Linked DNA regions of Bombyx mori. The protein of the gene in region 1 purifies or fractionates together with the protein of each later gene. This does not show direct contact. Links are inferred from orthologs where the notes say so. Each region holds a gene or a part of one and is shown in the gene's direction. Other genes may lie near its edges.

The links.
Region 2: the proteins of T-complex protein 1 subunit epsilon (region 1) and viral IAP-associated factor homolog purify together in Homo sapiens (co-immunoprecipitation; 3 studies listed by BioGRID and IntAct, with this or other methods). This does not show direct contact. The link is inferred for Bombyx mori from reciprocal best matches to the Homo sapiens genes CCT5 and PDCL3.

What each region holds. Positions count from the first base shown.
Region 1 is NC_085108.1:3,072,173-3,076,364, reverse strand, and holds the start of T-complex protein 1 subunit epsilon, read left to right. Parts: upstream 1-1,392; 5' UTR 1,393-1,524; coding exon 1,525-1,632; intron 1,633-3,278; coding exon 3,279-3,513; intron 3,514-3,998; coding exon 3,999-4,192. UniProt on the Homo sapiens protein: Component of the chaperonin-containing T-complex (TRiC), a molecular chaperone complex that assists the folding of actin, tubulin and other proteins upon ATP hydrolysis.
Region 2 is NC_085131.1:762,710-769,167, forward strand, and holds viral IAP-associated factor homolog, read left to right. Parts: upstream 1-2,345; 5' UTR 2,346-2,495; coding exon 2,496-2,501; intron 2,502-2,585; coding exon 2,586-2,718; intron 2,719-3,665; coding exon 3,666-3,894; intron 3,895-4,069; coding exon 4,070-4,278; intron 4,279-4,802; coding exon 4,803-4,915; 3' UTR 4,916-6,373; downstream 6,374-6,458. UniProt on the Homo sapiens protein: Acts as a chaperone for the angiogenic VEGF receptor KDR/VEGFR2, increasing its abundance by inhibiting its ubiquitination and degradation.

The sequences.
Region 1 (4,192 bases):
ATGAAACTGGGATAAGACAACGCATTAACAACTAGGTACGCTCCCTTAGTGGTTGATGTGGTTTTTATAGGTGAAGGCCAACAGCATACAATAATTGGAAAGATAGAATCATATAAAGAAAAGATACAATACTTATGTACAATTTGTAAAAATAATAACAATAAAAGATAGATAAGATAGAAATATCGCTCATTATGTATGTAAAATACGCATTTAAGAACAAGGAAGTTCGTCCTTCGTGTTGGAATCCAAAGTATGCCTCGGTCAAGGTGTACTGATTGAATGTACATAGGCTTAAAATTTGAAATAATAAAAGTATTGGAATTTGCATTTTTTATTTTCATTTTTAAATGCACAACTATGAAATATAGGTATATACTACACCGGTTGACCTGAAGTGATGCTGTGACCGCGCGCTCTCCGCCCTCTATCTCGAAAACGGTTCATCGTAAGAAAAAAATTTTTAAACAAATTTTGTAGAGAATGTTGTATTCTACAATATTGTAATATATACAAATAGCAAAAAACCCATAGGAAATGAAATATTTACAAAAAAGCGCAAAAAAACGATTTTTGTGACCTTTGATCTTGAAATTGAATAGTTGCGTACACCCTACCATATGTAGGTTTTGAGGCAACTTTCAGGATGTCAATATACAAGTATTTACAGACTTACAGCTGGATATCTCGAATTCCGAGATTCTTACCTAATTTAAACTTAAGTGACTGGACTATTACTAACACTAACGTCCCGTTCCCAGTTAATATGAACTATCTCTTAACATTCCCTAATCCTAAAGTTGTAAATGCATTAGCTTATTTTATTTCCCGCAATAACATTAAACTAAAAATATTTACAATTTTTTCTCCCGTTCTCATTCTTCTCATCTGCTACCATTTATCTGTATCGCTGATATTCTATCTACCTGAGATTGGCAGAGTCATTCGTCAAAGAAGAGACTCGATCCATTGAATAAATAAAATAAATTCTTTGTCAATATTTACAGTGCTATGTCATTCGCTTCAAGCTGATCCTATAGTCTTAGCATTAATTGCTACTGGTAAATGTGAAAAATACGTTCAATTATAGTAGAAAAAAGGTGTCAGAATCAAAGAGCAAGGAATAAAGTAGGGGATATCATATGTTGAGTGCACACTTGGTAAACTTGACCTAATGAGCCGATTGCTTGACCACAATCATACGTTGGCGAAGAATTGTAATTGGAATCAATTGTAGTGGATAAAAATGGGTCTGCGGACGCCAATGAAGGCTATTTTTATTACATTAGGACATTAATATGTAGGTTTAAAGATTAATATGAATAACAAAGAGATAATTAATTTAAAACAACGATGATTGAATGTCCGTGTTTCCTTTGCCTGTACGAGTAAACAAAAAACTTTGAGTGTGATTTACTTTGACATTTGTGATTGTAAAATTTGAGTTTTGTTTTGTACTTGCGGAGAACAGAAATATTAAATCTATTTTCATCTTTCGTTTGTGCACTATTTAAATCGTGAAAAATGGCCCTGTTCCCGGGATCGGTGGCCTTTGATGAGTATGGCCGTCCATTTATAATCTTGAGGGATCAAGATAGACAGAAAAGACTTACCGGTACCGATGCCATAAAGGTACCTATTTCAAATTTAAATTATTATAATGTAATTGAAATTACCCATTTAAGTTTTTCTAATTCTAATTGATCAACATTTATTAACTAATCGAAGCGTTAAAAATATATAAATCAGTACAGCTCTGTAAAACAAAATCGAAAATTAACCTAGAAAAAGAAGAATTAGAAAGCCGAGAAATTTTGTGATATCCATAACTTTATCAATGAAAGTTAATATAAATAGTTTATTTAAAGTTTAAAAGTATGTTTTAATCCATAATCAAGGACATCAGTACAAGATTTTCGAGGAAAATCACTCCAAAGTGAAACAGGTGCTTGACATTTCAAGATGAATCACATGATTTATAACAATTTCGAATATTGTTGATTAAAACACTGAAGTCACAGTAAATTAGGTTCATAGTTTTTATTTAATTCGCTTTGATTATATAAAAACTATGAACCTACCTTCTAAAATTGGCCTAAAATAAAATACTATTAAAACGAACTTCATTGTAAAAAAGTATTTTTACTAACAAGTCAAAGATGAAACTGTATTGAATAAGTTAAAACTAAGCCCATTAAAATTAAAAAATAAATAATATCACAATAAAACAATGCTGAAATTCAATTTTTCAATTCTCAAGAATTTGAAAGATAATATATATTAATAATCTATGGTCAGTGATTTTTTGGCTTCTTAGCTTGACTAAATTTCTTAGCAAAATTGCGAAACATACTATTTGTACTTTAGAAAATATTTGATAACTGTAGAGGGTGTAGTGATTTCGTTCTGTCCTCATACTTATTCATTTTCTCGAATACAATTTTTTTTAGAAGTATTTTCACTCACTTAATTTCATTTGATTTGTAGTATACATTAAAGTATGTATACAATATTAAATTGACAAGATTAAATAACACATGTTAAAAGCACTAATTGTTCCTTCATACCCAAGTTGCATTCTTCTTTTGTCCTTCACACATTCATTATTTTGTCCTTTATTCTTGGATACTGATGATGTTTAATAAACACGTAGTGTATTGATTTACTGTGAAATCACCTGTTCTATGGACTGAGGTATCCAACAGAGTTGAATCTAGTGAAAGACTAAATTTATTTATGAATTTTTTTAATAGATTTATATGATTCAAGGCATAACTTTGTGAAGTGTGTGCTTACAATGCATATCTGTGTGTTGGTATTATTCCCACTTGGTGTTTTATTTTTATTTTTATTGCTTAGATGGCTTGACGAGCTCACAACCCACCTGGTGTTAAGTGGTTACTGGAGTCCATAGACATCTACAATGCAAATGCACCACCCACCTTGAGACATAAGTTCTAAGGTCTCAGGTATACTTACAACGGCTACCCCACCCTTTAAACTGAAATGCATTACTGCTTCACAGCAGAAATAAGCGGGGTGGTGGTACCTACCAACGCGGACTCTCAAGAGATCCTACCACCAGTAGCATAGCATAGCACTTTAAGCTTAGGCTTAAAAGAAAAAACCTACTAGCATAGCACTTTAAGCTTAGGTTTAAAAGAATAAATGTTATTATATTTGAAGTCTTGAGTATATTTATTTGGAGTATTAATACACAACAATTTTTTTTAAATAATTCTGTATTGTCACCTAATCCTGATATTCTCTCTCTACAGTCACATATACAGGCAGCCCGACAAATTGCAAGCACTCTTCGCACATCTCTTGGTCCCCGCGGTCTTGATAAGCTTATGGTGTCGTCTGATGGTGATGTGACAGTAACAAATGATGGGGCTACAATTCTAAAAATGATGGACGTTGAGCATCAGATTGGTAAACTACTTGTGCAATTGGCTCAGAGTCAAGATGACGAAATTGGTGATGGTACCACAGGGGTTGTTGTTCTTGCTGGTAAGTGTCAAGTTCAATAAGTATTTATAGTACTCAACATGACTACTCTCTGCTCTTATCATAAAGTCATTTTTGGGGCTTATGGGGTCTGCTGCGTGAGCCTTGGTTCAGGCAATATGGGGTTTAGATCCGTTACTGGAATGATTATGTCCAATTTCACACACACAGCAATTTATTACATAAAAACGATTAGAAGGAGAAAAGCGACAAGCACAAGCACAGTTGAATAGTTCACAGCAAACAGTAAGAAAAAGTCCAGGCAAAGAAGGAGACATAAACTATACACACTAAACATTCAATATAAACTTAGTCAATCGAGACAGGCGTATGCGAGTAAATGTGACGTGAGCTTCGCGGTCAGAGGTCTGCGGACGACTGGCGCAGGAAGCTGCGACGGCGCACCTCGCGCCGTTCACACAAAGACTTGTGAACTACGCAATCATGTGTAAGTCACCACAGGGCTAAACTTTTACAATTAATTTTAGGTGCACTCCTTGAGCAAGCCTCAAATCTGTTGGACAAAGGTATCCATCCGATTCGTATAGCCGATGGTTATGAGATGGCTGCCGCCCTGGCACTGACCCATCTTGACAGCGTCAGTGAAGCTTTCCCAGTCAACAAGAATACGAGGGAAAATTTAATTAAGGTGGCCATGACAACCTTGGGCAGTAAAGTGGTG
Region 2 (6,458 bases), on another chromosome or scaffold:
CTGAACATAGCGACGTAAAATTTTTCCAACACGACGCAGGTTGGTTGACAATATTGACAAGTTGACATTTACGTAAATTGATAGACGTGTCATTTGTCAATTCTGGAGTAAATACAAAAAACCGGTTAAAGCTATGGGTTAAAGTCGTGATTCCATTTGAAACTGTCATTTTTGTGATATTCTTTATGATTTTATGGCCTGAACCTTTAAATCAATCATCTTTAGGAAGTAATTATACATAGAGATAGAAATTGAGAGAGTATTATATGATTACTTTTGTGGAGTCAAATAATTTATTTATGTAATTTGTACAAATTATTTAATCTTGCTAAACGATAAAAGTGTCAAATAAAACTGCTAAAATCAAAGCTTTATTTATAGAGGGCGTAGCCAGCTTTTTCATTTAAAGTGATGGTAGTGATTTTATTAGTTCTTTTTCAGAATCATATTCCTTGGACAGACGAGGTGATGAAATGGTTACTGAATCTCATAGACATTTCAGTTCTCTTAATATCTAAATGACATCGATCTAGCCCTTGCATGCTAAGTTTTTCACATTATTTTCAAATGATATTGGAACATTTGGCGTTAGTGGTAACAAGTAATTAAAAATGTGTTCAATGTTTGGCTTTTTTTGATCAGTTTGAAATCGTAGAGTATTTGTAGGCTAACCATTTATTTTGTGTGTGTGTGGAAAAACGAAATTCACTGAAAATGGCTTCTAAAACTCTTTCTAAATTTTAATGACAGGTTCAGTAGGTACCGTACAATGGGGTAAATAGGGACAAAATCGACCTTCAGATTGAATTTTAAAATAGTTCCAATAAAATAGTCACTGCTCAACCAAATAAATAAGTTGAGTCTTGAACGTACCTAGGTGATAAAAACCGTTACATAATTTTAATTATTCATTTTAAAGAAATAATCGGTAAAATAATGGCCGTCCCAATTTACCCAGCGTCCGGGGTAAATTGACACGGTTAAGGGTTAAATTGGGATATTTGTAAGGGTTGTCAACTCGCAGTACTGCGATATATAGGTAGGTGCCATATAATTATTTATATGGACCGAAATGATGAATACAATCCATAATTTAAGCACAATACACAACATAGTGTAAATTAAGCTGGTTTCTATTCCGAAGCGATGTGACGTGAATGATAATCAACAATACAATGATCAAAAAAAGTATGTGCATGTTATATTTTAGAAAATTATTATTTAATTTCCTTAAAAATCACAACTCTGAAACAAATTGATAAAATAGAATAAAAAATAGAAAACAAAAGGACTGGAAATGCAATAATACAATTTTATTTAATCAACATTTTCAAAATAATCTTTGAGCAAGAGTAAGATATCAGGTGAATAAGATAAAAAAACAGCTTTATCTGATTACTGCCAATAATAACAAAAATAAAAGAAATTCTTTCTAAGCTAAATAACTAAACTCAATTAATTCACTCACTCATAATTGGATATATCGGATTTTTAATTAATGTTACATTTAAAATCTGAGGCCTGTTTTTATTTGTGTGTGCGTTTTGAATGTTAACAAAATCATGATTCGATGCGTGAATAGATTCTGAAATAACAAAAGTTTTGATTCGTTTGAGTTCTTTTAACTTTTAATTTTTTTTATTGCTATAAAGAACATACGACCGGGCAGATATTACAAGGTAAATGTCGCGAAAAAAAGTAATTATATATATACTTTTCTTTTACCTATAATACTTACATAAACTAACTGATAAACACATTAACCTTCTTTACATCACGCAATTAAGTGATAGTATAGGCTAAAAAATCTATTATAAGATATCAGTGACAACCCTAACAAGCCATCCCTATTTTGTCTTTTGGCGTTCCAATTTTGTGTTTTCTCGTCCCTAATTTTTCCAGTCTCGTTCCCAATTACCCTACATACGTCCCAATTTTCCCCAAAAAGAAAGGAAAAAATATACATTTTTTATTTTGTCGAAATATTGTATTTAAAATAAGAATATTGCAACTTACCGTTTGTTGTGGTATTTCCAGGTGTATTAAAAACTTATATAAACTGTGATCTTATTGAAAAAACAACGATAATATTACTTTTTTTAAAAGTTCTTTAAGCTGTTTTAAAACTCACTTTTCAACCACTATTTTCAATTTAATTTGACGAATTTTTGGGACCAACTTAACTCATATTTAGTACTTCCATAGTTAACTTGGTTTTTCTTCTATACATTGATAAATATTAACTTAAACAAAATTAGGTAAATTCCGTGCTACAGGTACTTTGAGAATCTTCCGCAGGTTTGTCCCAATTTACCCCAGGATCCCAATTTACCCCATGTCATGGTACCTATTGTTCTACATATTTCATGACAAAGTTTCCTTTGCCTGTCTCAATGTTAAGTCTATGGAAAAAATATCTGGTGTCAAATTTCCTGAAAAGCTGGAGCAAGTTTATGTATTTCAACTATTAGAATTTTAATTGTTAATTTAATAAAATGCAGGTATAATAAATGGAACTTATCAGTAAAATGATGTGCAGTACATTAAAGTGAAAAGTTTAATTTTATTTTGTTGTTTATTTTTAGAACCCCAATGAAGATACAGAATGGAACGATACCCTTCGAAAGATGGGTATTATACCGCAGAAAGAAGCGGAGTTTTCGGAGGCCGATATTGTGAACATGATAGAGGACACAATACAGCAAAAGGAAGCTGAAAGTAGGTCAACAAATACGAATTTTTGAGGTTAAGCTCTACGATGTAAATGCAATATGTATTGGCTCATCAGTAATCAACAGTGAATCATTACCCGGAAACACTGAACGTAATGAACTTCGAAACTTTTTGGTTTAAGTACCTATAATTTCATTATTCATTATACATTCCTTTAGACTAGTCTAGTTTATAATTGATATGCATCACCAGTACACTAAATGAATCCTGGAATTAAACAGTCACCAAATTAATAGTTTTCTTTCTGCAATTCAATCATTTTGTTAAAAAAATTCTTTGCATCCAACACCTTATGAAATGTTCAGCCAAGCGAGACTCATCACCTAAATTAGCTCTAGTAAGTACAGTTAAGTGGGACGCATTCATTTTTGTACTGGCATAGATAATGAATATTCACCAATTATGAATTTTTTGGTGATTATTTGTTACATCAAAATACATTTGCTTGAATTTATATATAAACTAAATTGAAAATATTCAGGAATAACAAGACATGTTAAGACACTACTAATGTTTAAAGAAATATTTTTCTTAAAGATCTGACAAAATGTTAGTCACACTCTGTATTATTATAATTATAAATGTTCAGCTATGAATTTACAATTAACTTTGTGTTTTGTTTTCCATTCTGACATACTGAACAATTAACCCTACGAATTTAAGAAGTGACTCCCTCAAAAATGTAGTAATCATCACCTATTGGGTGCAGAGAATTGATAGGATAGTTAATGAGTTCATTTCATTGGTAGAACGCCAGTTCAGTTGATAGGGACACTTTTTTTAACATCAGCCAAAACACCATCGTAGATAGTTGTATGCTGAGGACGAGAGTTCAAGCCACCCTTGGCAAGTGTTTTGAACACTATAAACTACATAATTAACTGGACTGACTGTGATGGTCTCCAATAATAACAATTTTTACTTATTCACAGAACAAAAACAATTATCTGAGTTAGACCTTGATGGATTGGACGAACTTGAAGATTCAGAAGATGAGGCTGTTATAGAAGAGTACCGCAGGAAACGATTAGCAGAAATTAAGAAGCTGTCTGAGAAGCCTAGATTCGGAGAAGTGCGAGAAGTCTCTGGTCAAGATTATGTGCAGGAGGTTAACAAGGCTGGTCAAGACATTTGGGTGGTCATTCATTTGTACAAACAGGGGTGAGTGGAACGATGAATAAGATATAAAGACATTAGATAAACCAATATCAATGTATGTAGTTTTTTTCCTCTAGATAACCTAGCACTGACTTTTTATGTCATTGGGCCATTATGACCCTTTATCTGCAGACTGCTCCAATGATTATTATCAATCATATAAATCAAAAAATTTCAGAATACAACAATGTGCACTAATAAATCAACATCTACGAGAATTAGCAGTCAAGTTTCCCTACACAAAATTCTTGAAAGCCATTGCTCAGACTTGCATCCCAAACTTCCCAGAGAGGAATCTGCCTAGTTTATTTGTTTACTTTGAGGGCGAAATGAAGCAGCAGTTTGTGGGGTCCCACGAACTAAGGGGCACCAGTTTGACTTGTGATGGTAAGCTATGAGAATTGATTTTTATAGTTTTTTTTTAATTTAATTATAATTGGTTACATTTTTAGTAAGGATTACTATTAGTGATTGTTATCATATAACAATAGCACCACAAGGCTTGCTTCTCACCAATAGCAAATTTAATACAGTAGTAGTAATTTAGTCAGTAGCAGTATAACATGTGAGTCTCCATTGAGAAGCATCCGTTTTGCCACCAAGAGTGAACTTCAATACAGTGTATTGTAGTTGAAGTAGCTGTGAATAAATCAATTTTTAAATGATGGTAATTGATAGCTTGATACCTTATATAGCATGGCCAATAGTTCTATGTGAACTTTGTGAATCAATTCACTTTTGTAGTGGTTGTTATAGAGTTATGTATGAATTAAATTATATTGACATTGAAAAATAGACAAAAATGAAAATATAATGAATAAAATGAGTCTGAACCGTGAGATATTAGTGATTATAGTCAAATTGAGATGAGCTAGTGGAAAGTAATAAAATAAATGTATTTGAATTTCCAGAACTCGAATACATACTCGGTAAGGTTGGAGCTGTCGAAACGAGCATAACAGAAGATCCCCGACCAAAGATCAAAGACAAGTTGTTTACTGACCTTGGAAGTAATGACTGGTGATTTTAGAATATTAATTTATGTTAAAGTTAATTTATATTTTATGTTACATCTAACAGTATGTTTTTTTTTTAAACTGTATTCTGTCGCTTTACTTATCAAAAGCTTCTTATGTGAACTGTATTAAATTAATATATTAAGGTTTGTGCTAAATGAGCATCATTATCAAGTGAACTTGTGTTGTTATATAGGACCCCGTTGTAAAAAAAAATCTATAGTAATGGCGTATATACAGAGACCGGTTAACCCATGTCTGATGGCAGTCTTTTTGTGGTAATTGATTCAAATAAAAATTAAAACTTCTTTAGTCGCAAACAATTGATATAACTAGATTTAATTGTTACAACAAAACTTGCGAAAGTATGTGACTGTATGAAATTCAAGTCATATATTTTGATTTAAACGGTCAGGTCAAAGGGCATTTGTTTATTTAATCCTTTGAAAAAAAAAAATTTGCTCACTGACCTCTTATAAATGAGGACAAATAAGCCTCGCGTCGCAGCGCAGTTGGTCACTCACACAGGGCTACAGGTTTTAGTTCAATAATATAGTAACAAATATATTTTTATACAAATGTATTGTAGATGAGACTAAAAGAAATGAATTTGTAATTTTTTTCGTTCAAACATACACTAGGGCCTATCCAAAACTTTATAACGAAGGCGGGAATCATGTCTGTCTTAATAGAATGAAATTATTTATGAAAATATGAATATATTTTTGCCTTATTGTATTTATAAAAGTTATATTGAAAATTTTTGCCTTCTGGGATGTAGTATTACTAATTTCTTGTTTTTAATGCACAATGTTAATTTATTTGTTTATTTACTCATTGTCCATAAATACAATTCGTAACCGGATGCTAATAACAAAATAGTCTGATTAGTACTTCATCAAGCGCATACAGTTTGTATACCCAGTTATGGGACTTTTTTGGGGTTTTAATGCTTCATTGTATTTCTAGCTTTCGTGGAGTAAATGCTATTCTATATGTTTAAGTACTCTTCCCTGATAACTAAGACTTTGATCCAATTTGTGCACATCAATTCATAGTATGAGTATTCTACCAGCGCCTCATGCTTTACGTTGACAATTACCCTATACGACATTATAATATGTGGTTAATCATTGTGTATTTATGTACAATCAATGTCAGATCGTAGTATGTATAGATCTAAACTGATAAGTGTAACGAGGAATAGCACTAACACAAGAGCGGCTCGGTTACCTGTTGTAGCATAATTGATTAAAACCTTTGTTTTAAGAAATTATGAAGAAATGAAAAAAAATGTTAAAATTTTTTTTGTTCCATGCAACACTTTAATGTCAATTACATGTCATTTAATTTAAATACACATATACCAATATATAATTACTAAAATAAAACGAAGACTTAGTGTAAATATGATAAGAATCTACATCTGTATTTGATTATTTACAATTAAATATGTTTGCTGTTCATTGGTTTTTTTTTCAATGACATACGCACACACAATACTTACTACGCAACGCAATAGATTATAGCTGTATTTTATTCTTAAATTAC